Cricetulus griseus: one gene and its partners. The protein of the gene in region 4 binds, or shares a complex with, the protein of the main gene of each other region. Links are inferred from orthologs where the notes say so. Each region holds a gene or a part of one and is shown on either strand. Other genes may lie near its edges. The genes, in order: pre-mRNA-processing factor 6, Lsm5, Rbmx2, Snrpd1, Bud13, Usp39 and Crnkl1.

Region 1 (3,500 bases), on a different chromosome or scaffold from region 4:
GTTTTGTTTGGGGGAGGGGGTTATGGGTGCCAGGGACCTTAATCTTTATCAATGAATCCAGGGTGTCCTCTGTGCTTCAAGATAAAAGGGCCTTCATTGTCACCAGACTGCCATGTTATCACTGCCCCCAGGATACATGGCTGTAAAAGGCTTTGCTGTTTAAACAATGCTTTGCTTTATAGAGTCCTCTTCAGTAGTTGATTTTAGATTCTTTATGGGAAAGAAAGATTTCCCTACACTCTCCCCATCGTAAAATCTCGTAAATCATTAATAGTACCGAACTTTGGAGTGGTAGCTGTCTTTTCAGCATCTAGATGGCTGTGTGCTCTGATTTATGGCCCTGACCCTAGTGACTATGGCCTTTCTCTTGCAGGGAGTCTCTGGAAGCACTCCTGCAGAGGGCTGTGGCCCACTGCCCCAAGGCAGAGGTGCTGTGGCTCATGGGTGCCAAATCCAAGTGGCTGGCAGGGGATGTGCCTGCAGCAAGGAGCATCTTGGCCCTGGCCTTCCAGGTAGGTAAAGGATGCCTGTATTGGAAGGGGCCATGAACACAAACTCAGTGTTAGTGCTACTGTGGCCTTAGAGCTTACCTTGTGCATATTCTTTGGGATATGTCATGATCTAGTCTAGAGACACTGGATTGTGTGGGTGGCCTTGTCTATGAGGCCTAAGCATGAGGAACATTGCAACCAGCCACACTGGCCTCAGTTCCCTTCTATTTCATATGACTATAGGCCAGGTACTCCAGAGTACAAGACCACAATGTAAGCTGCCTGGGTGCTTAATGCCTTTGTGAGAGTGCTGTCCTACTAAAACAGATATACTTACTGGCCTAATGAGGCCTAGCTGTTACGATACATACAATGTTACTAAAACAGATATACTTACTGGCCTGCTGAGGCCTAGCTGTTACAATACATGCAATGTTACTAAAACAGATACACTTACTGGCCTAATGAGGCTTAGCTGTTACAATACATACAATGTTACTAAAACAGATAGACTTACTGGCCTAATGAGGCCTAGCTGTTACAATACATACAATGTGTGTGTGTATAAGCTAGAGGTCAACCTAGAGTGTCTTCCTATATCACTGTCTACTTTTTTTTTTTTTCCTCCTAGACAGGGCTTTTCTGTGTCTTGGCTATCTGTATCTCATTCTGTAAACTGTCTGATCTCGAACTCCCTCTGCCTCTGCCTCTGCCTCCTGAGTGCAGGGCTGCCTAACACACCCTGAGGGGTTTTTTTGTTTTTGTTTTTTTGGGTTTGTTTTTTGTTGTTGTTGTTGTTGTTTTGGGGACAAGATCTTTCAATGAACCTGGAGCTTACAGCTTTGGTTCACCTGGTTACCAATTAGTCTTTAGAATTCATCTGACTACACCCTCTAGTACTGGGGTTACAGATGTGCATTGCCATGCCTGGCTTTTATGTGGGTGTCCAGTAAGCACTTTACACACTAAGCCATCTCCTTAACCTACATGTAACATTTAAATTTTTTTACAACAAAAAATGATCCTAATATTTTTTTAGAAGCATGTGCTATCCTCCTGTGTCTGTGTCTTTTTTTAAAAGATTTTATTTATTTATTATATATACAACATTCCGATTCCATGTATATCTGCACATCAGAAGAGGGCACCAGATCTCATAAGGGATGGTTGTCAGCCACCATGTGGTTGCTGGGAATTGAACCAGTCTAGTATCATAGCCCAGGGCAACAGTAAAGTTTGTCTGTTGTAAATAAGCACCAGAAGAGCTAACTTGCGTCAGTACAGCTGTTATCCGAAGAGACTATAGGAATAGGTGATAGTGCTGTGCCAGATAAGTGATGTCCTTTCTACATACAGTTTTCTCCTCAAGTTGTGTGCTAGAATTTTAAGGTGGTTCACTTTTACCATAACCATAGACACCATGGCCATGTTGCAGAAGTCTTTAAGGAGGGTAGGTACACATTATGAGGCACTACTTTTATGTCCCCTGGACTCTTAAGTTTGTATAGCTTGGTCCATGCCTGTGGGAACCCTTTACACTTCATTATCTCACCTTGATCTACCCTGACCACATGGGCTACCTGAGGGGAAGGGATGAAGTTAGATGTAGCAGATTCTGATGCAAAGATGTGAGTGAGCCAATCATAGTTTTGAAAGGCCGTGCAGAATTTAGATGCATCCTAGAGAGGGTGGCTCTACAATACTAGTATTGTTGCTTCATCTCTGTACAAGAGTAAAAGAGAGAGAGAGAGAGAGAGAGAGAGAGAGAGAGTGTGTGTGTGTGTGTGTGTGTGTGTGTGTGTGTGTGTGTGTTTCCCCCCCAAGCTGAGATCTACATTTCCTAGCTTGTGCAGAAGCATACTAGTCCTGTATCAGAGTGAGGTTCAGTTCACTTCTCAGACTGCCTGTTCTTAATTAAGTGTGGTCTAGCCCTGGTCACTTTTGTTTTGAGCCTTTTTGATGCAGCTGTGCTTATTCTCCAGGCCAACCCCAACAGTGAAGAGATTTGGCTGGCGGCTGTAAAGCTGGAGTCCGAGAACAATGAATACGAGCGAGCCCGGAGGCTGCTGGCCAAGGCACGGAGCAGCGCACCCACTGCCCGTGTGAGTGGTGGCTGGTGGGTGGGGCAGTATTGGCAGAGTGCCTCTTGGCTCATACATGGCATTGGGAAGGAGTGAGATGAGTAGGACAGCTCATGCCACAGCCCAATCGTGTTATTGGGCTTTAAAATGCATTTCTTTAGCTGGGCGGTGGTGGCTTATACCTTAAATTCCAGCACTTGGGAGGCAGGGGCAGGTGAATCTCTGTGAGTTCAAGTCCAGCCTGGTATACAGGGCAACATAGAGAAACTGTCTTGAAAAACCAAAAAAAAAAAAAAAAAAAAAAAAAAGGCATTCCTTTATTTATCTATACCTCTTGTATATACAAAAGAGCTACATACAACAACTTATGAGGTACAGGACAGATGTGTGTGAACGATGTCTATGATGTCATGTGTGTGATATGAAGGTAGTTAGCATCCAGATAGATGGTAGAAGTAACAACTCTGGTGTGATGGTGCTTGTCTGCTTTACAGGTATTCATGAAATCTGTGAAGCTGGAGTGGGTGTTGGGGAACATCACTGCTGCCCAGGAGTTATGTGAGGAGGCTCTGAGGCACTATGAAGACTTCCCCAAGCTGTGGATGATGAAGGGGCAGATTGAGGAGCAGGGGGAACTGATGGAGAAGGCCCGAGAGGCCTATAATCAAGGGGTGAGCCTCTATTAAGATGTCTTAGGGGCCAGGAGATGGTAGAGCACACCTTTAATCCCAGCACTCAGGAGGCAGAGGCAGGCACATCTCTGTGAGTTCTAGTCCAGCCTGCTCTACAAAGTGAGTTGCAGTGCAGCTGGAGCTACACAGAGAAACCCTGTCTTAGTGGGGTGGAGGGGGAAAGATGTCTCAAGGAATAGCATGACATTGGTCAATTTCCCATGCTTTTGAAAGAAGTGGAGGGCCAGTGGTCTGTG
Region 2 (4,075 bases), on a different chromosome or scaffold from region 4:
ACTATCATACCACCTAAAACTCCCCATGTGCTCCTCATGGACCAAAGCCACCACTGTCTCTCCCCTATCCTTCAATTCCCATTTCCCAGATCATCAACATCTGCTAGTAATCCCAACATTAATTGATGCTTAAGAGTTTCAACAATGGTTCCTGATGAACTAAAGGTAATAAAGATTAATAAGCAAATGAATCTTAAGGCCCAATGCTCTTTCAATAGCTGCGTTGGGGCACTGATCACTGAAGGCTCCCTTCCCATCCTCAGCATGTCTAGACCGTGAACACTGAGCTAAGCAGCAGTGTTCTGTAATCCCTGCCCTATAAAAGTAATTAAATTCAAAATAAAACAGCTTTAATGTCTTACCATCGTTATATTATTTCCATTTAGTAAAATCTGATCTAATTTTGTAATCCTTCTTCCTTCTGGTGTAATTTCACTAAATAGATAAAAAATGGAGTCAGGATAAACAAGTATTCAAAGGCAATTATTTTGGAAACGCTTTTCCTCTCTAAAAATTATTCCTGGGGTAAAGAGGTTAGCTCGGTGGCAGAGCACCACCTGGGTGGCAGAGCACAAGGCCCTAGGTTCAATCCCTAGCATCAAAACTGTTATTCTTACATATGAATGAATGTGAACTCATACAATTACAATAATTTTCAGCAATACAGTCTGCCCACCAGATAATAGTTATGTAAATATAAAACTTCATAAATACAGAAGTAAATATAAAGATATATTACAAAGATATAATATAGAAGTAAATGTAAAGTCACTATAAAGCGTGTTTACACTAATTTCTTAGAAATTCAGGAATAATGACATTAAGATAATAATCTTCTGGCCCAACCTCACAAATACCGGTAAATAAGTCAGCATTAAAAGAATTCCAACAGGTAATACTTTATCCATCATACTAATCCTGCTATTGTAGTTTAAATGAAAATGGCCTCCACGGGCTCACGTTGACAGAACTGTTTGGGAATGGCTAGGAGGAGTGGCCTTGTCTGAGGTGTGTCACTGTGGCGGTGGGCTTTGAGGTTTCAAAAGAATAAATTATAACCAGTTGGCTCTCTGTTTGTCTCATGGTTATCTCAACATAGAATCACTTAGCTATTGCTCCAGCCCCACACCTGCCTGCCTGCCTGCCTGCCTCCACACACCTCACCATGAAAAAACGTGGACTCTAACCCTCTGAAACTGTAAGCAAGCCCACGCAGTAAACGCTCTCTTTTATAAACTGCCTTGGCCATGCTGTCTCTTCACAGTAACAGAAAAGGAACTAGGGTACCTGCCTTTAATTCAAAAAGATATTTCCTCCTCTCCTCCCCCATTTATTTGTCATTTTTAATACTACTCACAACTCTGTGACATCTTCCAACACCATATCTGAAATTTGTTGTTAAGAAAATAAACAAGGTTGAATTTATTCTGGTTTATGTTTTTGTTTGGTTGCAAAAATGTTCAACACAATGGTGCAAATTCAAAAGGTTTGTTGTTGGAGAGAACCCTATCTGCTTTCTGCAAGCACACCTCTTAAAATGTTACCAAGTTCCTGGAAAATAAATAATTTTTAATGTAATAAACAGAAATATGTCATCTGTCTACAGCTCTTATATTAATACATCTTTAAAAACCTGTTCCATGAACACTTTTTAAAAGGATACTGACAAAGTCATCAAATCCTAGAAGTGTACCAACAATTTCTTTATCACTCTTCATCACAATGTGAATTCTTGATCCTATACACTTGTCCACGAGCTCTGTGGAAAGAAAAAGATTGTTTTACCCACTTATTAGTTCAACAAGCATTCGAGTGCTCACTTTACTATTTCCGTATCATTAAAGAGAAACAAAAAGCAGTCACTAAATAACTACATCTTACACAAATCTCCGCTCAGCCATTAGCACAAATGTTTGTCTTGGCCTTCGCTTACCTCCTTTTTTGCTGCAACTAACGGGACTGTGATTTTGACTATTTGGTTAATGTATGAAAAACAATTACACCACAAGGTGGAAACCATGTTAGTTTTTCCTCATCAGTGTTTCTGCCGATGAACATACCCTGGAGTGGACCCTGCAAGAACTTTCCATCATTGCCACATTGACTAACTTCACCGGCGCCAAAACATGACAGAGGAGAGGCCTCACGACCGACACCAGCTTCCTGTCACTTCTCTCATCTTGCCTTTAGCTCTGTGCTTGGAGACCAACCTGAGCATCTCCGTGGCCAACCGAGAACTGCTCGGCACGAAGTCTTTCAGTGTGCTATCTGAAAGCAATGGCCGTAGTTTAAATTCGTTATTCAACAGTACCCTGGCACGGGGAGGGAACTGCTTGATGGATGGATGAATGAATGAATGAACGAACGAATGACGGAGCTAGTCTCCAGATTTCTTTCTAGGAGTCACTGTAGACCGTGGCGCCCTCCTCACACCGCCAAATGCAATACAGGGGCTCCCTAAGGTGTAGACCGGAAAGGCCACACTGCGAGCTGGGCCGGCACCGGGACATCTTAACCGGCGAGCTCACAAGCAAGGCCGAGGGCGTCCTTCACCAAGTGGGGCCCCCGCCGGCCGCCGACAGACAACGGGCTCGGTCTCCGCAGCGGCCCCAGGGGCAAGCCTCCGGCGCGGGCGTGGGGCCGCAGCAACCCGCCCGCGCCCCGGGCGAGACTTTTACCTAGCGGCAGGAGCTGAGACGGGTTGGTGGTCGCGTTAGCCGCCATGGCCACGCCGGAAGTGGCATAGGGCTACGGGCGCAGACTTTAAAAGAGCGCGCTTCCGCCCTTTCCCACAACTGGCTCAGACGGAACTAATCGGAGGCAGATCTGGCGATCGCGGGGTATCCAAATGGATCACCGACAGACTCGATAGAATAGTTCCGCACTATATCGGTGCCACCATCCCGTGCCCCCGAAGTTTTGCTAACTTGACAGTTTGTCTCCTCTATATCTGCCTGAAGACTACAACATACGAGATCTCTGAGTCGGCTAGTTTTCCTCTAAAAGGTTGGATCTTTCTTCAGAGCCATAAAATCAATGAGGATTTGCTATCACCAACTCGTTCTGCGTTTGTCTCAACTACTACTCATTTTCTTAAGGAATCCTGTACTTTTAAGCCTAGAGTACTGAAAACCCTTACGAAGCATCTTTTAAAAATATTCTATACCGAGTATTCAAAGGTTTTTTTTAATTTTTGCTACTTTATTTTATTCTGGTTTTTCGAGGCAGGGTTTCTCTGTATTGTTTTGGGGACTGTCCTGGAACTCGCTCTGGAGACCAGACTGGCTTCGAACTCACAGAGATCCGCCTGCCTCTGCCTCCCCAATGTTGGGATTAAAGGCGTGCACCACCAATGCCCGGCTTCTTCTTGTCCTTTTAGAAGTCTAGTTTATTGCAGGCTTTTGCAGTTACTAACACTTATTGATTTACAGGTAACTGCTAGATGTCACTCCGTATGTTGGTGTCATCACATTTGGAAAACATGCTATCACACTTGTGTTTTGGAAAAAGATAAAAAGCTGCTGTGAGGAGTGGCCAGCAATCCCAGCGCTTAAGAAACAGAAGGAGGCCACAGTTGCCAAGCATGGACAACTTAGTAAGACCCTGACACGAAATAGGAAATAAAAACTAATGAGAGCTTAACCACCTTGCTTAGCACTAGAGTGCTTTCCTAGCATTCATGACTTCATGAGACCTGGGTTGTCCCTACTTAAAAAGAAAAAAAAGCAGCAGGCAAATTCTTTAGCTTCGGTTGTCTCATTTGTGTCTGAGGGACTTAAACAATCTGAATAGGAGAGATCATAATCAACACCATTCATTTTTACAGTGTTTGGTAAGCACCCCTCATACACCGTTTAATTAGCAGCTCGCTGGGTATATAAAGCAATGTACAGAAAAGTCTTCTACAAGAGTGAGTGAGAAGAAGGACAAATAAATTGTATGTATATAGCACTATGAAGTTTAATAGATAAAGCAATGCCTCTAGGGATCCTTGGAAACTCCACTCCATTCTCAATTTCAAGCCAGTGGTGGCTTTTCCCCACAAACCCCATTCCATAAATCTCGTGTACCTACT
Region 3 (3,322 bases), on a different chromosome or scaffold from region 4:
CAGTCTGCACTACAGAGTGAGACCCTGTCTCAAAAAGCCACCAAAGCCAGTTTAATTCCAGTCTGAATGACATCCCTGTGTGGTGAAGGCTAGAGCTTTGATCAGTCCCAGGCTAGATAAGGTTTCAGAACATTAGCATGTGGGAGATCCCAGAGCTTAGATCATTTGAGAGGCTTTCTGAAGGAGCCTAGTTCATTTCTGTCAAGTTTTTCCTGAACCTTGTTCAGCATGGACTTGCATTAGAACAAACTGGAATTCCCAGGAAAGTGCAGTGTTGACCTCTCTATTTGGGTTCCTATAAATTAGAGGTCATCCATGATGACAGGGCCCTCTGGGCCCTATCTGTGTGGCATTGTAGGATTAGGTCAGAGCACTGAAAACTTGGGCCAAACAGACACAGATTTAGCCTGGTTTTTATCAGCATTGCTGGATTGTTCCCTGAAATGGTTTTACTAATATCCACTCTCACTGAAATGCCTATTTACCCAAATCCTTTTTTTCCCTTTTTGATATAGGGTTTTTCTGTCCAGCCCTGGCTGTCCTGTACCTTTCTGTCTTGTTACTTTACTGAATTGTTATGCTGTTTATTTTTGTCATTGTCTATCATTGATGCTGTTCAATTTTCTATATACACTCTTGTATATAATCTGCAGATACTTTTACTTTTTCATTTCTTATATTAGTTTTATCTAACTGCATTATCTATGCCTCCAATATATTGTCAAATTGTTCTCAACCTTATTTGAAGCACATTAACCTTTTTGCATTTTGATACTAGATTTGGGGTTGGTGTGTATATGTGTAACCATATAATTTATATGTACTCATATAACTTATGTATCAATTATAGTTTTATTTTCTGACTCTTATAAAGCTTTATTTGGAATTGGTTTTAAAAGAAGTAAGGCAGACTATTTTTGTATTCAATTTTTGTATTCAATTCAAATTCAATTTGATCTTTATTAAAGTCTGTGTTTATTAGGTTTGTTTTATTTCATATTTATGCTTTTAAAAGAATCAAATTCTTCAAGGTTACAGATTTTCCTGAGTAGTGAGGCTTAGCTGCATCCTATAAATTTTCATGGCATTTTAAAATTTGTTGTTAGTTGCTAAGTGATATACCATTGACCTTTTAAATTTTGTTTCATTTTTCTTTCATCCATCTATTAGCTAAGAGAATAGGTTTCAAGTTCTGGTTAGCTGCAGGTTTTTATAAAAATATTTAAAAAAATGTTATTGTATGGGTATTTTGCTTGTATGTTTGTCAGTACCACATGAGTGCCCAGGCACAGAAGAGGACGCCAGATGCTTTGGAATTGGAGTTACTGATGGTTGTGAGCCTCCAAGTAGGTGCTAGGAAGTGAACCTGGGTCCTTTAGAAGAGCAAAACAGTGCCCTTAAACATTGAGTCATCTCTCTAGCTTCAGTAGCAAGCTTTGTTTAAAATATTATTTAAATATTTGTTTAAAATATTATTTCTAGTTTTATCACACTGATTGGTGAGTATATACTGTAGATTTTTAGAGTTTATTTTTAATTGATCCTCAAAAAGATTTGTTTTTAGTTCTGTGTCTGTGTGTGAGTGTGTGTGTGTGTGTGTATGTGCATGTACATACTCATGCTTGTAGAATCAATCCAGAGGCATCAGATTTCCCCAGAGACACAAAGGTTGTGAGACACCTGGCTTGAATGCTGGAAACTAAATTTGTTTTTTCTGCAAGAGCAGAGGTGCTCTTAACTTCTGAGCTGTCTTTTTTCCCCAGAAACTTTAGTGCTTATTGATATTTATTTTGAGATCTTACCAATAGTGAATCTAATTTGTTTTATGAATTCTTGAAAATAATTTATCTTGTTATATACTTCAAAAATACCTATATGTTTCCTAGTCTGACATTAGTGGATTATTGGCAATTATTTTTATTTCTGTTTCTTTTATGTTATTTGATATTAATTCATCTGGTCTTATTCCTTTAAGCTTTGTTTTAAACTTAAAAATCTCCAATAAGTTTCTGTTTCTTTTTTGTAGCCCTGGCTGACCTGAAAATCGAAATATAAACTAGGCTGTTTTCAACCTGCTGTATCATCTTGTTCTATTTCTCCTATACTGATTATTTGAATTGATCATTCAGTATGAAAATGTTTGCATTTTAAATGAATAATACATTTTATAAACTAAACAGATATGGGGAGATTGTCAACATTAATCTTGTGAGAGACAAGAAGACGGGCAAGTCCAAGGGATTCTGTTTCCTGTGCTACGAAGATCAGAGGAGCACAGTTCTGGCTGTTGACAATTTCAATGGAATTAAGGTAACTGCTTACTATGCAGGATTTGACTGGATTTTTCCTGTGTATGGGTTAGGCGGCATTCTTTTTTTTTTTTGTCTCCTGTTTACAGGTGTAGGAATAGTACTGGTCAGCTGGATGTATTGTGGGGGTTGTAGAGGTGCCTAGACACACTGGATAGGCAATGATTCCAGGAAACGATTTTCTGGCTTATGCATCTGCCAGGACTTATTCCTTTTCCGTATGTGTTAGCAAATTGTCATTCCAGAAACATGGGTACTGTGCCCCCTTATCTGGGGGATGTTTTTCTTATACACATTTTCCATCTGTTCTAGTGGATTAGAAACTAGAAACACTGCTCTTGGATATTGTGCTGTGCTAGGGAACCAGGGGCTTCATCATGGCTTTGTGAGCTAAGACAGAGCCATGTATATCTAGCATATGATTCCAGTGACTTCACATATTGGCTCCTGGACATTCTTTAGTTAAAATCTGGTGACTAATTCTATAAAAATAAGCCATTCTGAAATTTTAAAGGAGTAGTCTTCAGAAGAAGTCACCATCAAAGGAAAATTGCTTTTTAAATTTTTTTTATCAAAATGATAAATAGACAAAAGCTTCTCAGGCTTAAAGGTACACATAAAAATGTACTCTAGAAATGGAACAGTAAAATTGAAATTCAGGGTTCAGATGTTATTACCTGGAGAGAAGTGTATCTATTTGAAAATAGACTGTTTATAAAACACAGGCTTCATTTTGTTGTTCACCTTTGAAACTCTAGCTTATAGTCCAATACTCAGTTGGAACAGAAAGGTCCTGTTTGACAGGAGTAGAGAAAGGTATGAGAGCTCAAGAAAAAAGGAAGTAAAACTTGGAATATCCTCAGTGAGAGATGCTTCTCTATGAGACCCTTGATTCAATACCACCATAGCAAAAGCATTTTGTTTCCTTGGTCTTATTTTGCCTTTGTTGAAACAGCAGCTTTAGATTTCATGTTTCTGGCCCTCATGCTTTTCTAGGACATGTTTTCTTGTTA
Region 4 (4,038 bases):
AGAGGAAGAAGAAGAAGAGGAGGAGGAGGAGGAAGAGGGGGGAGGGGGAGGAGGAGCACATCATATTAAAGCATAAGACTGGAGATACCGGATGTTGGAGAGTGCAATAAACAGATTTTTTTTTTTTTTGCTTTCAGACACTATGTTCTCCTGAGTTCAGTATAAGTAAATAAATAATTGTAAGTGTGGTGATATTTTGTTTGTGATCTAACAAAGCTTGCCTGCAGATCAGAGTGCAGAGCTGGCCACACTAGTTAGCCACAGATGCCAGGCAGTGATGGCACACATCTTTAATCCCAGCACTCAGGAGGCAGAGGCAAGCATAGCTCTGTGAGATCTGGGATACCCCGGGATACATAAGATTGATCCAGTTTAAAAGAGAAAAAAGAGCCAGATGGTGGTGGCTCACACATTTAATCCCAATACTTTAATCCCAGCACTAGGGAGGTAGAGACAGGAGTGGTGTGGCTGGGCAGAGAGAAGCCGGAGGAGACAGGAGTCTGAGGAGGCAGTCAGTCTGAGGACAGGATGGCCCCTTTGGTCTGAACATTGGTAGAGGTAAGAACTCTAGTGGCTGGCTGTTCTGCTTCTCTGACCCTTCAGTTTTTACCCCCTGTCAGCCGAGTCTGAGGCTTTATTAAGAACAATTAGAATTCATGCTCCATGTAAGAATCAAATATAATAAACTAATATTATCCAATCTTCTTGGGATAGTGGAAATTATCTGCACTGTAATCAATGATACATATAGATTTTGAGTAGTTACGATGTGGTTATTGCAAATAAGGAGTTGAATTGTTTTATTTAACTTCATTTGAAATATCCACATAACTTTTTAAGTCGAAGAACTTACTATATAATGAAGGTCTTATTTAAAACTGTCCTGAGAATGGCTTTCCTGTTTTTAAAAAGGTTCTCAGTAGCTCTGGGGTTATTACAAGTCCCCAAAGGAAAACTATTATATACAAAAATCTGATTGGCTCAGCTTAGTTGTCAAACCAACTAGGAGAAACTTGTCGGGCCGGTTCTCTGCTTCCAACATGTGGGCCCCAAGGATTAAAGAAGTCTTGGAGGGGTTCTCTCAGATCTTCTCTTCCTTCCAACTGTGAAAGCGCCAGGCCATTATAAATAGTTTTAAGGTGAATCCTCCTGCAGATGTCTTCCACCAGCCACGCCGCGCTCAGACGGCGCAAAGCACTCCTCCCGTCGCTAGGGGCCGCTGTGGTTGTCCCGGTGGCCGGAAGGCAGCGCGGCTTCCGCGTTTCCACCGCGGATCCGCAGGCCTCCGTGCGCTCTTCCGGCCATTCATACGCCTAGTCGGTGAGTCTTTGGAGCTCGAATTCCGTGTCCAGTAGGACCAGAGGGAGGCTGCGCCGCTAGGATGAAGCTCGTGAGGTGAGGAGGCTCTCCGGGCGGGCCGAAGGCGGCGGGGACAGGGTTTGGGCGGGCTCAGGAAGCCGGGCCTCTGCGCCCTCAGGGAGGCGGGAAAGCCGCGTGCGCGCGGCCTGCTAACGGCCCCCGCGTCCGGGCCCGCCGCGCCCTTCTCGTTGCTGCCGGCGAGGAGCCGGCGCGCCCCGGCCCTGCGCGTCTTCCAAGAATGGGGGAGCCGAGCGGTTTCTGCTCGCCTCGTTTCCTGCGGCTTGAACGGAGCCGAGGCCGCTTTCCCTGGCCAGTCGGGCTGCTTGCACGGACGAGAACTCCAAAGCAGCATGGTTTTATCTGCAAACAACGACGCCGATCTGCTAGACGTTTTAGATAAAGTTCTCCTTTATTTTGGATCGGTTGTATGTAACTGGTTAATGTTGGCTTTCGACTCACGACAGTGTCCCAGGATGGGGCAGAAGTTAAGTTAATTTCGCCTGATTGCAGATTGTGTCGGTTAGTGGAGCTTTGTTTGCTGGTATGAATACTTCCAAACCAAATAGGCATTAGGCAGAGCCCGAAACAGGGTTTAATGCCTAAGCCAGTTAGAAATATTTAGTTTCTTGTTGAGTCAAGGACTGCTTATAGTCACCTGTTAAAAGTAGTGGTACGAGATTTTTCTTTGTGGTTTTTCGAGACAAGGTTTCTCTGTGTAACAGCCCTGGCTGTCCTGCACCTCGCCATGCTGGCCTCGAACTCAGAGGCCTGCCTGAAAAGGATTCAGTCATTATGCTGGCCTGCCCCTGCACTCACACAGTAGTACCCTGGTCAGCCCAGATGCAAAGCATCCCTTTAAAAGAAAGGTCTCTGTCCACTTATGCTCTCTTACCCGCTTTTTTTTTTCCCTCTCTCTCTTTCCTGCTGTTCCCCTGGGGCAGACAGGACTTTTCTTGTCTTTCCTGTCCTCTCTCTGTCTCTGTGTCTCTAACCCCCCTTTTTTTCTAATAATCTTCTCACTTAAGTCCTACTGCCTGGCATGATGTCCTTTCGACTGGGTCATCCTTGCCTGCCATGGAATCCACAAAGGTCCCCCACGAACATTTATCATAACACTGCCTCTGTCTCCGGAGTGTTGGGATTAAAGGCATGACCCATCACCGTCGGGCTACAAGATTTCTTTCTTTTCTGTTTAATGCTGAAGGCAGAACAGGTAACATCTGGTCTGTTTGAAATGACAAACACTCTGTTCAGGGGGAGTTGGAAGAGAAAGCATATAAGGTTAAAAAAAAAATTCCACCTGTTCTGGGGATAGCGCCTAGAGAGCTTCCAATAATCGCTCTACCTTTGACTATAGCTCCAGTTCTTTTGTATTTGGACTGTAACATTAGGTAGAAAGTCTCACAATTTAAAGTATACTCTTGCTGTTTCCCTGCTGCCTGATGTGAACTATCATGTGTTTGCAGTAACTTAGGTTTTTCCCATTTAAAGATTCTGTTACGACAGCTTTGCTTTTGGGTGGTGGTACCTGGGGTGTTACCTCGACTTCCAGCTAGCGTCCTAGGCAAGTGCTCACTCTGTTACTGATATGAACCCAGCCAGGGCTACACAGAGAAACTTCTCAAACAACAACAGCAATGGTAATAATAAGTAAGAGAATTCACAAAATGAAGGATTCACTGAAAAATTGAGACAGGATGTCACCAGGTTGTCTAGAAGTCACTCCATATCCCAGGCTGACTTCAGATTTGGGATCATCCTACTGCAGCCTACTGAATAACTGAGATTACAGATCGGTGCCTACATGTCTTAAGGGAATTTTTTTTAGCAGACTGTTATCTCCTCACCCACTCCCTTGTTTCTGAAAGAATTTCTGCTTCCTGAGTGCTGGATTAAAGATCTTCACCCCCATACTTGGCAATATAATTTTTTTTAAAGATTTTTATTTATTTATTATGTATACAGTCTTCTGCCCGAATGCCAGCAGAGGCACCAGATCTCATTCAAGGTGGTTGTGAGCCACCATGTGGTTGCTGGGAATTGAACTCAGAACCTCTGGAAGAACAGTCAGTGCTCTTAACTGCTGAGCCATCTCTCCAGCCCCCGGCAACATAATTTTTTAAGGTGGGTTCCTTTAAAAGTTGCTGAAACGCTGGACCTGTCTGGTGGTTTTTTATTATTATTATTATTATTATTATTATTATTATTATTATTATTATTATTATTATTATTATGTGCACGGTGTACTCCCAACCGCAGGTCAGAAGAAGGCACCAGATCCCATTATAGATGATTGTGAGCCACCATGTGGTTGCTGGAAATTGAACTCAGAACCTCTGGAAAAGCAACCAGTGCTCTTAACCTCTGAGCCACCTCTCCATCCCCTGAGTGTTTGTTGTAGTCCAGTGTCACCTATAGAAAGGGCCTGCTGCTTTCCTTCATAGTAGAATAGTGGTGAGAATGGAACAGATAATATTACTTGTGCAGTTTGCTGTAGTAGTTTACAAAGGATATTGTAGAAAGATAGACTAGAAAATCTGAATATGAAGTGTTGTTAGATGCTATTGTAGGATTATCTTTCCATGGCCATTTGGCTAAAATAAAGCATGGGTGATGCTGTAGAATTATTTCACTGCATGTAATTGTGGTATTGTGAATTACAGACTAGGAAGTCAGAAC
Region 5 (4,298 bases), on a different chromosome or scaffold from region 4:
ATGCTTGGATCATTTCAAAGTCCTGACAAGACTCCAAAAGATAACATACCACAGGCAAATCTCCATCTTCTTCCTCTTCCTTTTCCGGCTTAGTGGTAGAAATAGCTGCCCAGCCCACATCATCATCAACAATCCGCATTCTAGATGAGAACAATAAAAGCCTCAAAAAAGAACTCATTCTGGGACACAGGCCTATGTACACTTACCTATTGTTTTTTGGCATTTATTTATCGTGTGTGTATGTGTGACGGGGTGTGTGTGTGTGTGTGTGTCATAGAATACATATAGAAGTCAGAGGACAACTTGCAGGAGTCAGTTGTTTCCCTCCACCATGTGGGTTCAGAGGATTGAACTCAGCCTGTCAGGCTCGTTGGCAAGCATTGGGCCATCTCACCTTTTGGCTTTTAAAGTTCAAAAGTATGGCTCAGTCTTTGTGTATATGGACTCCTACTGTCAGTTCACTCCATCACTGTCCACCTTTTTGTTTTTTGGTTTTGGTTTTTGAAGACAGGTTTTCTCTATATAACAGCCCTGGCTATCCCGGAACTTGCTCCATAGACCAGGATGGCCTTGGACTCAGAGATCCACCTGCCTCTGCCTCCCAAGTGGCTTACACTTCCACATTGCTGTTCATCAGTGAAGGAACTCAAACAGGCAGGATCCTGGAGGCAGGAGCTAATGCAGAGACCATGATGGGTGCGACTTACTGGCTTGTTCCCCATGGCTTGCTCAGCCTGCTTTTTATAGAACCAGGACCACCAGCCCAGAGATGGTACCACCCACAATGGGCTGGGCCCTCCCACATTGATCACTAAATGAGAAAATGCCTAACTGCTGGATCTCATGGAGGCATTTCCTCAGTTGAGGCTCCTTCCTCTGATGACTCTAGCTTATGTCAAGTTGACACACAAATCCAGCCAGTACACCACCTAAGTTGCAATGGGTTTTGTAAGTAGCCTAGAGACAATTTAAAGAGGATATGAATAGTTTACCCACAAATACTGTATCATTGTGTGGAGGAACTTAAGTACCTGTGGACTTGAGTAACCAGTGTACCAACTGCTGAAAGATGATGGCATCCAATGGATGTGATCTGTGCTGCAAAGAGGTATTTGAAAAACCAGGAACACATGCTACATCTTTAATCACAACAGCCATTTCAGACAAACAGCAGTGTTCAGGACCACTAGGACTCCGAGTCTCAGAGAGGTGAACTCTCTTGCCCAAGATGACCCAGGCTATAAAGTAGCACTGCTAGGATTCAGATTCCAGTTAGTGCTGTTCCAAAGCTTAAACCATGTTCCCTGAATGGCATTGCTCCTTCTTAGAACCACACTGAGCTGGGCGTTGGTGGTACACACCTTTAATCCCAGCACTCCAGAGGCAGAGGCAGGCAGATCTCTGTGAGTTCGAGGCCAGTCTGGTCTACAAGAGCTAGTTCCAGGACAGCCTCCAAAAGCCACAGAGAAACCCTGTCTCGAAAAATTAAAAAAAAAAAAAAAAAAAAAGAACCACACTGAATTTACCACATACCTTAACTGAATATAGGCTCAACTAGTAACACCACAAAGATTGATGTCATGCTGAAGTCCCAAATGAAGGTAAATTTGGGCAAAGAGGGAATTAGGGAATTAGTCTACCCACTTCAATGGGCCACAGAATTTTCTCAGTAGAAATATGAGAATAATACTGTCAGCTCACGATGGTTCCCCCATAGAGGGGTGTGAACCACACTTTATATTCTCTAAGCTGCTAAGCTCTTAGCAAGCAGCAGACCCAAGGCATGGTGTATAAGAACGGGATTAGCTTCCAGAGTTTCGACCTTGTATCCAAAATAGTACCTTCTTAGCAAGCTGCTAAACTTAGGGTCGCTGCTCTAAAGTCTATAATTTCTTTTGTCCTGTGGGCTGATGTTGGATCTCCTATCCCAACCTTTCCAGATTCCAGTGGCCAAGTCACTGCATCCGAAATCTGTCTCAGCACATCCCTCTTTCGAACCTGGAAAGTATATTATTTAAAACAATGTCTACTTCACCACAATGTCCTGAAAGTTATATGGTCAAAGTTTTTAGAAAGAGGCCAGGCACATGATAGGAACTGTACCCATATTAGTTGTTACTGTTAGTAGTAGGCAAGAATAACAGGACTTAGATCTTTGGTTCCAGATCAGTTCCTAATACTTTGAAGGCCCCAGAAACAGATTTTTGAATTCTAACATTAAAAAAAAAAAACCGCAATCACTGGGGCTTTTAATTAGTTCTACTACTCTCAGGGCACGACTTTTCAATCTGTTCGAGGGACGATACAAGGCTACAAAGGCGGGAAAACAGTAAGGAAGTTCTAAGTTCTAGCTGGCCTTAACGCATGGAAGACACTGCTCAGAGGACGAGGTCTGAGCTGCAGGCGGCGGCGAAGAGCCGGCTCGGGAGCAGCGGGGCCGGGCCTGGGTCGGCAGCGCTCGCAGCGCCGCGCGGGCGGGGAGGAGGAAGAGCTGCGGCCGAGGGCGCAAAGGGGCAGCGCGATGCCCCATCAGTCCACTCACCCCTTGCCACCGGCGCCTCCTGGCTTCGGCCGTTTTCTGCGCCGCTTCCGAACCGACTCTGGACCTCCTTCCGGGCCAGCATCTGCTCCAGACAAGTAACGCTTCAGATACTCAGCCTTGGAGAGCGGCAGAGCTGCCGCCATGGCAGCGGCGAGGGCGGGGCAACGGCTCGGCGTTGGGGACAAAAATTCTTCTACGGGAAACGGATGGGGGTGGAGCCAGAAACGGAAGCCCTAGGAGTGGCCCTTATGGAGCTACTGGGGCTGATAGGTGTCATGACTCTTAAAAAATGTCTTTACAGGCTCGGTGTGGGGAAGGGGAGGTGCATGAATGCATCGTAGGGCCGTTCTGCTTTCCTGTGACGACACATCCGTGCAACGCTCTCAGCCGGGACTGTTCCAGCAAAGAGGTCACAGGCCGACTTAACTAGTCCTGCCCTGACGACTGCACCGGAGTAGGGAAGAACCGAAACTCAGGAGATCAGAGCACCTATTTGAATACGAGACCGATCGTAACTGTGCCACTGGGGGCAAGTTATTGAATAGCATTTTAATAACGGATGTTGTGCCAAATGCCTAGCACAATTAGTTTATTTCAGTTATTATTATCATTATTGAAGAAGAAGAAGAAGAAGAAGAAGAAGAAGAAGAAGAAGAAGAAGAAGAAGAAGAAGAAGAAGAAGAAGAAGAAGAAGAAGAAGAAAGAAGAAAGAATTTACAAAAGCAGGGACTTGGTGAAGCTGCCTGGTGGATACCCTTGAGGACTCATAGGTAGATGCCAACCCAGAGCAGGAGGAAGAGGACTCCCAAGCCCATTAAGAGTTAGGGCACCAAGGAGATGAGGAGCTCTTTATAAATAATTGTATGTACTTGGTGGAGGTGACCTTATAAACGAAGAACCAGGAAGTACCACGATCAGGTGTGGGAAGACAGCTGGATTGACCCAGCTGGTGTACCTACTGATGACCCCCAGCTCTTTTGCCCACAATAAACCACCAGTAGAACTATTTCGGTTATTTTTATTGGTATAAATACCTTTTGGTAGACAGTATACTGGAACAGTGCCATTTAGGGGAAGTCAAACAAATCCCACCCCCAATATTGTGACTGAAAAGTGGATTGGTCTCATCAAACCTGTATTGACCTTTCCACGTTTGGTATTATCTCTCAAGAAAATGGTATACAATCTTCCCAATAAAAATGACAAGGAATTGTTGTCAATGTGGCAAAGAAAAGAAAGCCAGGAAGATTCTATTTCTTATAGGGGGTTAAGTGTTTGGTGAATCTTCACTTGACCCCCACAATTCTGTTTCTTCTTCCATCAAGCACTGGGGATTGAACCCAGGGCCTTGCACATGATAAGGAAGAGTTCTGTAGCAGAACTACTTCCCCCACCCCTTTCTGAATTTTGGAGACATGACCTTGCTAAGTTGCCCAGGATGATCTTGAGTTTGTTATCCTTCTGCCTCAGCATCCCAAGTAGCTGGACTATATACCAACACGGCCAAGCCTTCAGTTTTATTAGCCTCTTTATAGGTGATAAGTTTAGAGGAATATAGGAGCAAACTCATTCTCATACTCCCGAATTCTGACTTTTCTAGAAGAGGCCAGCCAAATACAGTGCACGAGGTTATCCAGATTGGGTTTGTTTTGTGACAGGGGTTCTCTGTATAGCCCTGGCTGGCCTGAAACTCTGCCTGCCTCTGCCTGAGTGTCAGGATTAAAGGTGGGGAGTGATACAGTAGGACAGCCAGTGT
Region 6 (2,229 bases), on a different chromosome or scaffold from region 4:
AGGAGGGAGGGAGATAAAAGAAGGGGGGGAAGAAACAGGTTCAAAGAGATGCTGCTGTAATCACCTGCCTCCTGTGGCAGGGCTGCTTTCCCACATCTAAGGCCTGTTTCAGTGCTCCTGCCAAGGCTCAAATCCTCAAGGCTATTGAATCAATGAGTGGCCCAATTCCCTGGCCATTCACCCTCTACTTTGGGCTCCAAATCAGTCTGGCTGAGACTTGCTCTTTCTAGTCCTTTCATTTCTCAGCCCTCCAAAGCAGCACTACAGTCTGAAATCACCTGCTTTTAGCCTTCTAGTTAGGCACAACAATTTATCATTTTTAGCAAAATAGTTTGTTACTTAGAGACAAATGTACTCCAAATGACAAACCACCTACAAGCTGACAGGAAGAGACAAGAAAGGTGCCTACAAGACGACAGACTGCAGGGCAGATAGTCTACAAGTTAAAAAGGAAAATAAACCTCTTAGCAAGTCTAAATGAGGTACATAAAACAAGAGGCTGGCTTAAAAACAGGAGGATATTTAATCCATTCCAAAAGTCCCATGGGAGAGAAAGGAACTATAGGAAAACCATCTACCTATGATAGACAGAAGGATGCTGTTAGCTTCATGTTTATTCCTAGAATCTCAAGACGATGTTTCCAAGGAATTATCTGCTCTTTGATACTTGCAACAATTCAAGAAGGTATCCATCTGTAGGAGCTCTGCCTGCTGATGCTGAAAGGAAGGAGTATCATTTGTAATGTGCTGATCAGAGAACATCTGGAGACAGCACAGGACACCAGGGCAGACAGGATCTTTGATGGTGATGCAGCCAGACCAATAAAAACTGGGCTGGGGCAGGAATCTTCCAGTCAGTCCAGTATCTGTATTTAACATCTTCAGCCAACTCCCTTGGCATTCAAGCCCCCTGCTGGTTGGTTTCATCATTATCCCGCCTCTTCCAAATCTGTCAGAAATGGAAACAGTGAGCTCTTCAGTCAGTCAGTCAAGTAACTATTCTTTGTCAGGAAGCAGAGAGCACGCCACCCCACTGGTACACGTGCTGCATTCACCGAAAATGATGCATACTCTTCCAGAATATTCCCTTTCATTCATTTACATTTTTCCACTTACCCTCAACTTTTCTTCCATTCCTTTTTTAAAATTCTTTTTCAGATTTATTTATTATTTAATGTGTTTTGCCTGCACATATGTATGTATGTACCATGTGCATGCCTGGTGTGCACAAAGGTCAAAAGACAGCTTTAGATCTGCTGGGACTAGAGTTACAGATCTCTGCTAAACTCACAAGGTCACAAACACACTTTGCTCACTTGCTGACTGACAGGCTTCTATACTTTTCCTTTCTGATAATCTGATTGCCTTCTGGGGCCACATAATCTGGTCCCCTCACACTCTTGAAGCACCCAGGCCTGTGAGCAAGACTACATCAATCCCACTTCCTACCTTGGCCCACACCCACCTGAATGTATGCCTCGGACAATGTGATCATCTGGGGCAGGATGTCAGTCACCTGAAGGTCTTGTAATTCATACCACTTGCCGGTGCCCTGCACAAAGACAAGGGTTCGGTTAACCTGCTCTCCAAAACCAGAGGTATAAAGACTTCACAGCGAGAGTCACAAGTATCAGATGGCTACTAAATATCAACAAGAGCCATAACCTTGGCTAGACCGAGTGAATAGTTCTGGCAACCTCAATTCCTGTCAAGGAGTCTTTGAAATAAAATAAGTCCCAAACAATCTGCTTTCTTCTTTGCCCTTTCTCCTCTTTCTCTCTCCCCCCCTCGCTCCTTGTGTGTAGGGATGTCCCCCACAAAGCCCAGTCTAACATCACACTTTCTCTTTAATCAAGGAAGGCCTTGAACTTCTGATTCTCCTGCTTCTACCTCAAGAGTGCTGGCATTACAGGTGTATGGCACCACACCCAATTCATTCAGTGTCTGGAATCAAACCTAAGGTTTTGTACAAGCTGGACACCCTATCACTTGAGCTAAATCCCCAAGACCCTCTTCTATACTTTTAAAGGGGAATTTATGTGGCCTCTCAAGAGGAAAAAGAGAAGTCCTTCCAGTCTCAAATGTTTTTTTTTTTTTCCTGTCAGAAATGCTAAATTAGACAAACCCTGTAGAAAGTACATGAAGCTGGCTGCTAAAAACCTCGAAGTGGGCCAGGTGGTAGTGGCACACACCTTTAGTCCCAGCACTCAGGAAACAGAGGCAAGAGGA
Region 7 (3,500 bases), on a different chromosome or scaffold from region 4:
ATGAGGCTGGTGAAAGGGCTCAGTGAATGACAGTACCAGCTGTCAGGCTTGACCTTTGTGTTTAATCTCCAGGACCCACATGGTAGACAGAACCAACTCCCCAAGTTGTCTTCTGACCTCCACATGTATACTATGACAAATGCACAGCCAACCCCCCCCCCAATAAAAATGTAAAAAAATTTACAGACACACATACACCCATGACCTAGACAGAACTAACTGTATGATATCCTTCATGGCATGGCAGCCTCTACTGAGAATGTTTTGTGGACTGCAAGTTGGTAGAACATCCTATTTCTAAGAACAACTCACCACTTCTACAACAGAACTCTGTTTCTCTTGTTGGGAAATGAGGTAGAACAACATTTTAACATCTCCAAAGAAGCCACATATTCAACACACGCAAGCATGCACTATTATCAAAAGACCCATTTGGAGTCTCTTAGGTACATGCTCTGTTTTCTTTCTTCCAATCTGCCTCTCTGAATTACTTACACCCCCCCTCCTCGCCCCCCGGATTTCGACACAGTGTCTGCACTGCTTATCACAATACGGGCTGCTCTATGAACTAGGTAGTAAGGTGTTTCCTTTGGCAAAAACTTGTACTTTTTCTGATCTTGAAATTTTTCAACTGACACATATTATTTGACAAGTAATAAAAACGGGATTTTGTTCTAGCAAGTGTACCTTTTTGTGAGGGATTAGTTCCAAAGACGCTTGATAGACCTGTCTTGTCCTATCAGGATCCTGTATTAAGATTAAAATAATTTAAAAAAAATGTTAATACTTATTTTACTAGTTAATTTCATGACTACTAGTAGAAACAGACACCACCCCCACTTCTCAGGATGCTATTTTTACATCTGGATTTCATTTATGATCGAAAATAGCAACTACCTTTGATTATCAAACTTTGGTATAAGAATAACAATATGGCCATCAAAGTCTGAATTGTCTTTGTATAAAGGCCTGACAGCATAAAGAAAGATGTTACAGTCTCAGATTGACAGAGGGTAGTCTTTACCTGTTAACTTACACATAATCTATTTCTGAAAATGCCACTAGATTTTTTTTCTTTTTTTCTTTTGCCATTAGATTTTTATCAAAAGCAAAAATGTACAATCTGGCCATTATCCTTCTTTGTAAAAAAAAACACATTACTAGGAAACTGTATGTAATTAAACTGCTTCATTGATCATTGTTTCCCTTTCAAGTTTTAAATGCTATCTAATTGTGCCTTGAGGTTTTTAAAACAAAACAACATCATGGCTCAACAGGCACACAGTTTAAATGATGTACGTGGGTGGACAGAGTCCTAAAAGAATTTAAAACTAAGTTTACCTCAAAGGTTTTAACTATCAGTTACTATCCACAGCCATGACACTGGGGTAAGAAAGCCATTAGTGGCCAGTGCACAGTTCACCTTGGCTTCCAGCTCTTCATAGAGTGCATAGTTGATCCAGAGATAGATGTAGCGCTTCCAGTGCCTCTTCTCTGGGATGGGCGGCACATTGGCAATGGCTCTCTCATAGACTTCCCGCACAGTGTCAGCTTCTGCATCACTTTCCACCAAGCGCAGGTAATCAAACCATGCATCGTAATTGTGTGGATTAGCCTAGAAAAAAAACAGCTTAACCTATAAAATCAGAACCAAGAGCTAGACTTGACAGGCTGTCAGAACTTGCTGTACTTTAGCATTTTTTTTCTTTAGTTTTTACCTGTTATCTCATTTTTAGAACAGCATCCCTGAGATTGTATAGGACTGTAAGAGGACACTGGCTGGTACCTCTCAGTAAAGCCTCTTTCCTCTACTACTGGGTAATGACATTCCATTTTTTTTTTTCTTTTTTCTTTTTCTGAGACAGGGTCTCACTCCATAGCCTAGGCTGGACTTGAACTTATATTATCTTGCCTTGGCCAGTCCTGGGACTACAGGCTTGAGCCACTATATACAGCTTCCAGCTTGTATAAATGTTATTTTTTTACACATGTGACTATTTACCATTATGTTGATAATGAAATTACAATGGGTTTATATCAGACTCTCAACCAGGAAACACCTTTTCAAATAACAATAATTTATCCTGAACACATCTTACTGACCTACCACTTCATTTAACACCAGACTTGGCCCTTTGTTAGGAGCTACTTCAATCTGACTAAGCAAAAGCCACAAGAACCCAGAGAGAAAATATTGCTATCTAACCCTGAAATGACGTATTATGGAGATGAGAACAGAACTGTCTATTGTAGATCACTTGCTCTTGCAAAGCAGGTGTGTGTACGGGTCCGTCTTTGACCCTTACATTCTTTTCCAAAAATGAGTTCAAATAGATGACACATAGCTTTTGAGGCACAGATTCAATATGAAACCTATGTTAGCCTCAAGGTTTAACAATTTTTTCTGCCGCTGTCTCCCAAGAGATGGGATTACAAGTAGGACCCCATCCATCCTGCCCATTTGTTCAGTTCATTCACATTTCTTCAGTTTGCTATCAGTAAAAGGACTTTCCACAAGGGAATGACATCAGAGCCAGGGTGATAGTAAAAAAATCAAGGTTTTGGCTGCTTACATAGGAACTCCTGCCTTTTTTTTTTTTTTTTTTTTTTTTTTTTTTTTTGGTTTTTTGAGACAGGGTTTCTCTGTGTAGCTTTGGAGCCTATCCTGGCACTCGCTCTGGAGACCAGGCTGGCCTCGAACTCACAGAGATCCGCCTGCCTCTGCCTCCCGAGTGCTGGGATTAAAGGCGTGCACCACCAACGCCGGCTCAACTCAGTATTATGTGAGAGCACTGACAACATAGCCATCTACAGCAGCACCCACCTTCACTTCTTCTTCATACTGGAATCTTCGCTTGCTCACGATGATGTCTTCAATACCCCTCCGGTCACCAAACTTCTTCTCAAAGATGGTATAGTTTTTAAAGAGCTCTTGGGCCTCTTGTTTTGAAATTCTATCTAGGGCATATTTGTAGATAACTCGTACCCTTTCAAACTAAAAGCAGATAGGAAGATTATCATCCAAAACAATCTCATTTTAGTCACACCTTGAGAATAACTGCAACCTATTACTTATAAATTAAATTTTGAGGCCTTGATCAGAAAGGACTAATGCTTATTTTCAGTTCCATATTTAATGCTGTCTCAAAATTGTGCTTCTATTTTCTCCTCACCCATCCTGGATCCTTCCCAGGCTGGCAGGCAACACCGCCATGGCATACCTGCTCAACACCCAAAGCCCCACAAGTCTGCCTTGGTTCCTCTCCAGTCCTCCTTTCCTTCAACAAATTAAGGCAGTTACCATATATAATCACTCAGCTCCAATCTATAGCTCGTCAATACATGCACGAAGTTAGGTTTCTGTATCTAGAAAACATTTTTCTATGGATAAGTGAATAAAATAAAACAGAAATGAACTCAATGTACACTTACTTCTTTCTGATTTTCCTCAAATTTAGCAAAGGCCACATACAGGTGTTCGTCCATATGCTCATCTCCAA

What was found.
Region 1: Snrpd1 (region 4) and pre-mRNA-processing factor 6 share a complex: the UniProt entries of both Homo sapiens proteins name them as parts of the U4/U6-U5 tri-snRNP complex. The link is inferred for Cricetulus griseus from reciprocal best matches to the Homo sapiens genes SNRPD1 and PRPF6.
Region 2: Snrpd1 (region 4) and Lsm5 share a complex: the UniProt entries of both Homo sapiens proteins name them as parts of the U4/U6-U5 tri-snRNP complex. The link is inferred for Cricetulus griseus from reciprocal best matches to the Homo sapiens genes SNRPD1 and LSM5.
Region 3: Snrpd1 (region 4) and Rbmx2 share a complex: the UniProt entries of both Homo sapiens proteins name them as parts of the minor spliceosome. The link is inferred for Cricetulus griseus from reciprocal best matches to the Homo sapiens genes SNRPD1 and RBMX2.
Region 5: Snrpd1 (region 4) and Bud13 share a complex: the UniProt entries of both Homo sapiens proteins name them as parts of the minor spliceosome. The link is inferred for Cricetulus griseus from reciprocal best matches to the Homo sapiens genes SNRPD1 and BUD13.
Region 6: Snrpd1 (region 4) and Usp39 share a complex: the UniProt entries of both Homo sapiens proteins name them as parts of the U4/U6-U5 tri-snRNP complex. The link is inferred for Cricetulus griseus from reciprocal best matches to the Homo sapiens genes SNRPD1 and USP39.
Region 7: Snrpd1 (region 4) and Crnkl1 share a complex: the UniProt entries of both Homo sapiens proteins name them as parts of the minor spliceosome. The link is inferred for Cricetulus griseus from reciprocal best matches to the Homo sapiens genes SNRPD1 and CRNKL1.

What each region holds. Positions count from the first base shown.
Region 1 is NC_048599.1:257,795-261,294, reverse strand, and holds part of pre-mRNA-processing factor 6, read left to right. Parts: intron 1-373; coding exon 374-512; intron 513-2,473; coding exon 2,474-2,593; intron 2,594-3,066; coding exon 3,067-3,243; intron 3,244-3,500. UniProt on the Homo sapiens protein: Involved in pre-mRNA splicing as component of the U4/U6-U5 tri-snRNP complex, one of the building blocks of the spliceosome.
Region 2 is NC_048601.1:84,604,514-84,608,588, reverse strand, and holds the start of Lsm5 (U6 snRNA-associated Sm-like protein LSm5), read right to left. Parts: upstream 2,801-4,075; 5' UTR 2,725-2,800; coding exon 2,679-2,724; intron 1,760-2,678; coding exon 1,664-1,759; intron 1,386-1,663; coding exon 1,358-1,385; intron 436-1,357; coding exon 363-435; intron 1-362. UniProt on the Homo sapiens protein: Plays a role in pre-mRNA splicing as component of the U4/U6-U5 tri-snRNP complex that is involved in spliceosome assembly, and as component of the precatalytic spliceosome (spliceosome B complex).
Region 3 is NC_048604.1:20,788,813-20,792,134, reverse strand, and holds part of Rbmx2 (RNA-binding motif protein, X-linked 2), read left to right. Parts: intron 1-2,180; coding exon 2,181-2,310; intron 2,311-3,322. UniProt on the Homo sapiens protein: Involved in pre-mRNA splicing as component of the activated spliceosome. As a component of the minor spliceosome, involved in the splicing of U12-type introns in pre-mRNAs.
Region 4 is NC_048595.1:225,869,094-225,873,131, reverse strand, and holds the start of Snrpd1 (small nuclear ribonucleoprotein Sm D1), read left to right. Parts: upstream 1-1,238; 5' UTR 1,239-1,381; coding exon 1,382-1,395; intron 1,396-4,038. UniProt on the Homo sapiens protein: Plays a role in pre-mRNA splicing as a core component of the spliceosomal U1, U2, U4 and U5 small nuclear ribonucleoproteins (snRNPs), the building blocks of the spliceosome.
Region 5 is NC_048597.1:158,020,970-158,025,267, reverse strand, and holds the start of Bud13 (BUD13 homolog), read right to left. Parts: upstream 2,801-4,298; 5' UTR 2,686-2,800; coding exon 2,543-2,685; intron 141-2,542; coding exon 50-140; intron 1-49. UniProt on the Homo sapiens protein: Involved in pre-mRNA splicing as component of the activated spliceosome. As a component of the minor spliceosome, involved in the splicing of U12-type introns in pre-mRNAs.
Region 6 is NC_048601.1:64,050,706-64,052,934, forward strand, and holds the end of Usp39 (U4/U6.U5 tri-snRNP-associated protein 2), read right to left. Parts: intron 1,553-2,229; coding exon 1,466-1,552; intron 950-1,465; coding exon 902-949; 3' UTR 501-901; downstream 1-500.
Region 7 is NC_048599.1:33,089,296-33,092,795, reverse strand, and holds part of Crnkl1 (crooked neck-like protein 1), read right to left. Parts: coding exon 3,433-3,500; intron 2,996-3,432; coding exon 2,825-2,995; intron 1,616-2,824; coding exon 1,424-1,615; intron 748-1,423; coding exon 688-747; intron 1-687. UniProt on the Homo sapiens protein: Involved in pre-mRNA splicing process. As a component of the minor spliceosome, involved in the splicing of U12-type introns in pre-mRNAs.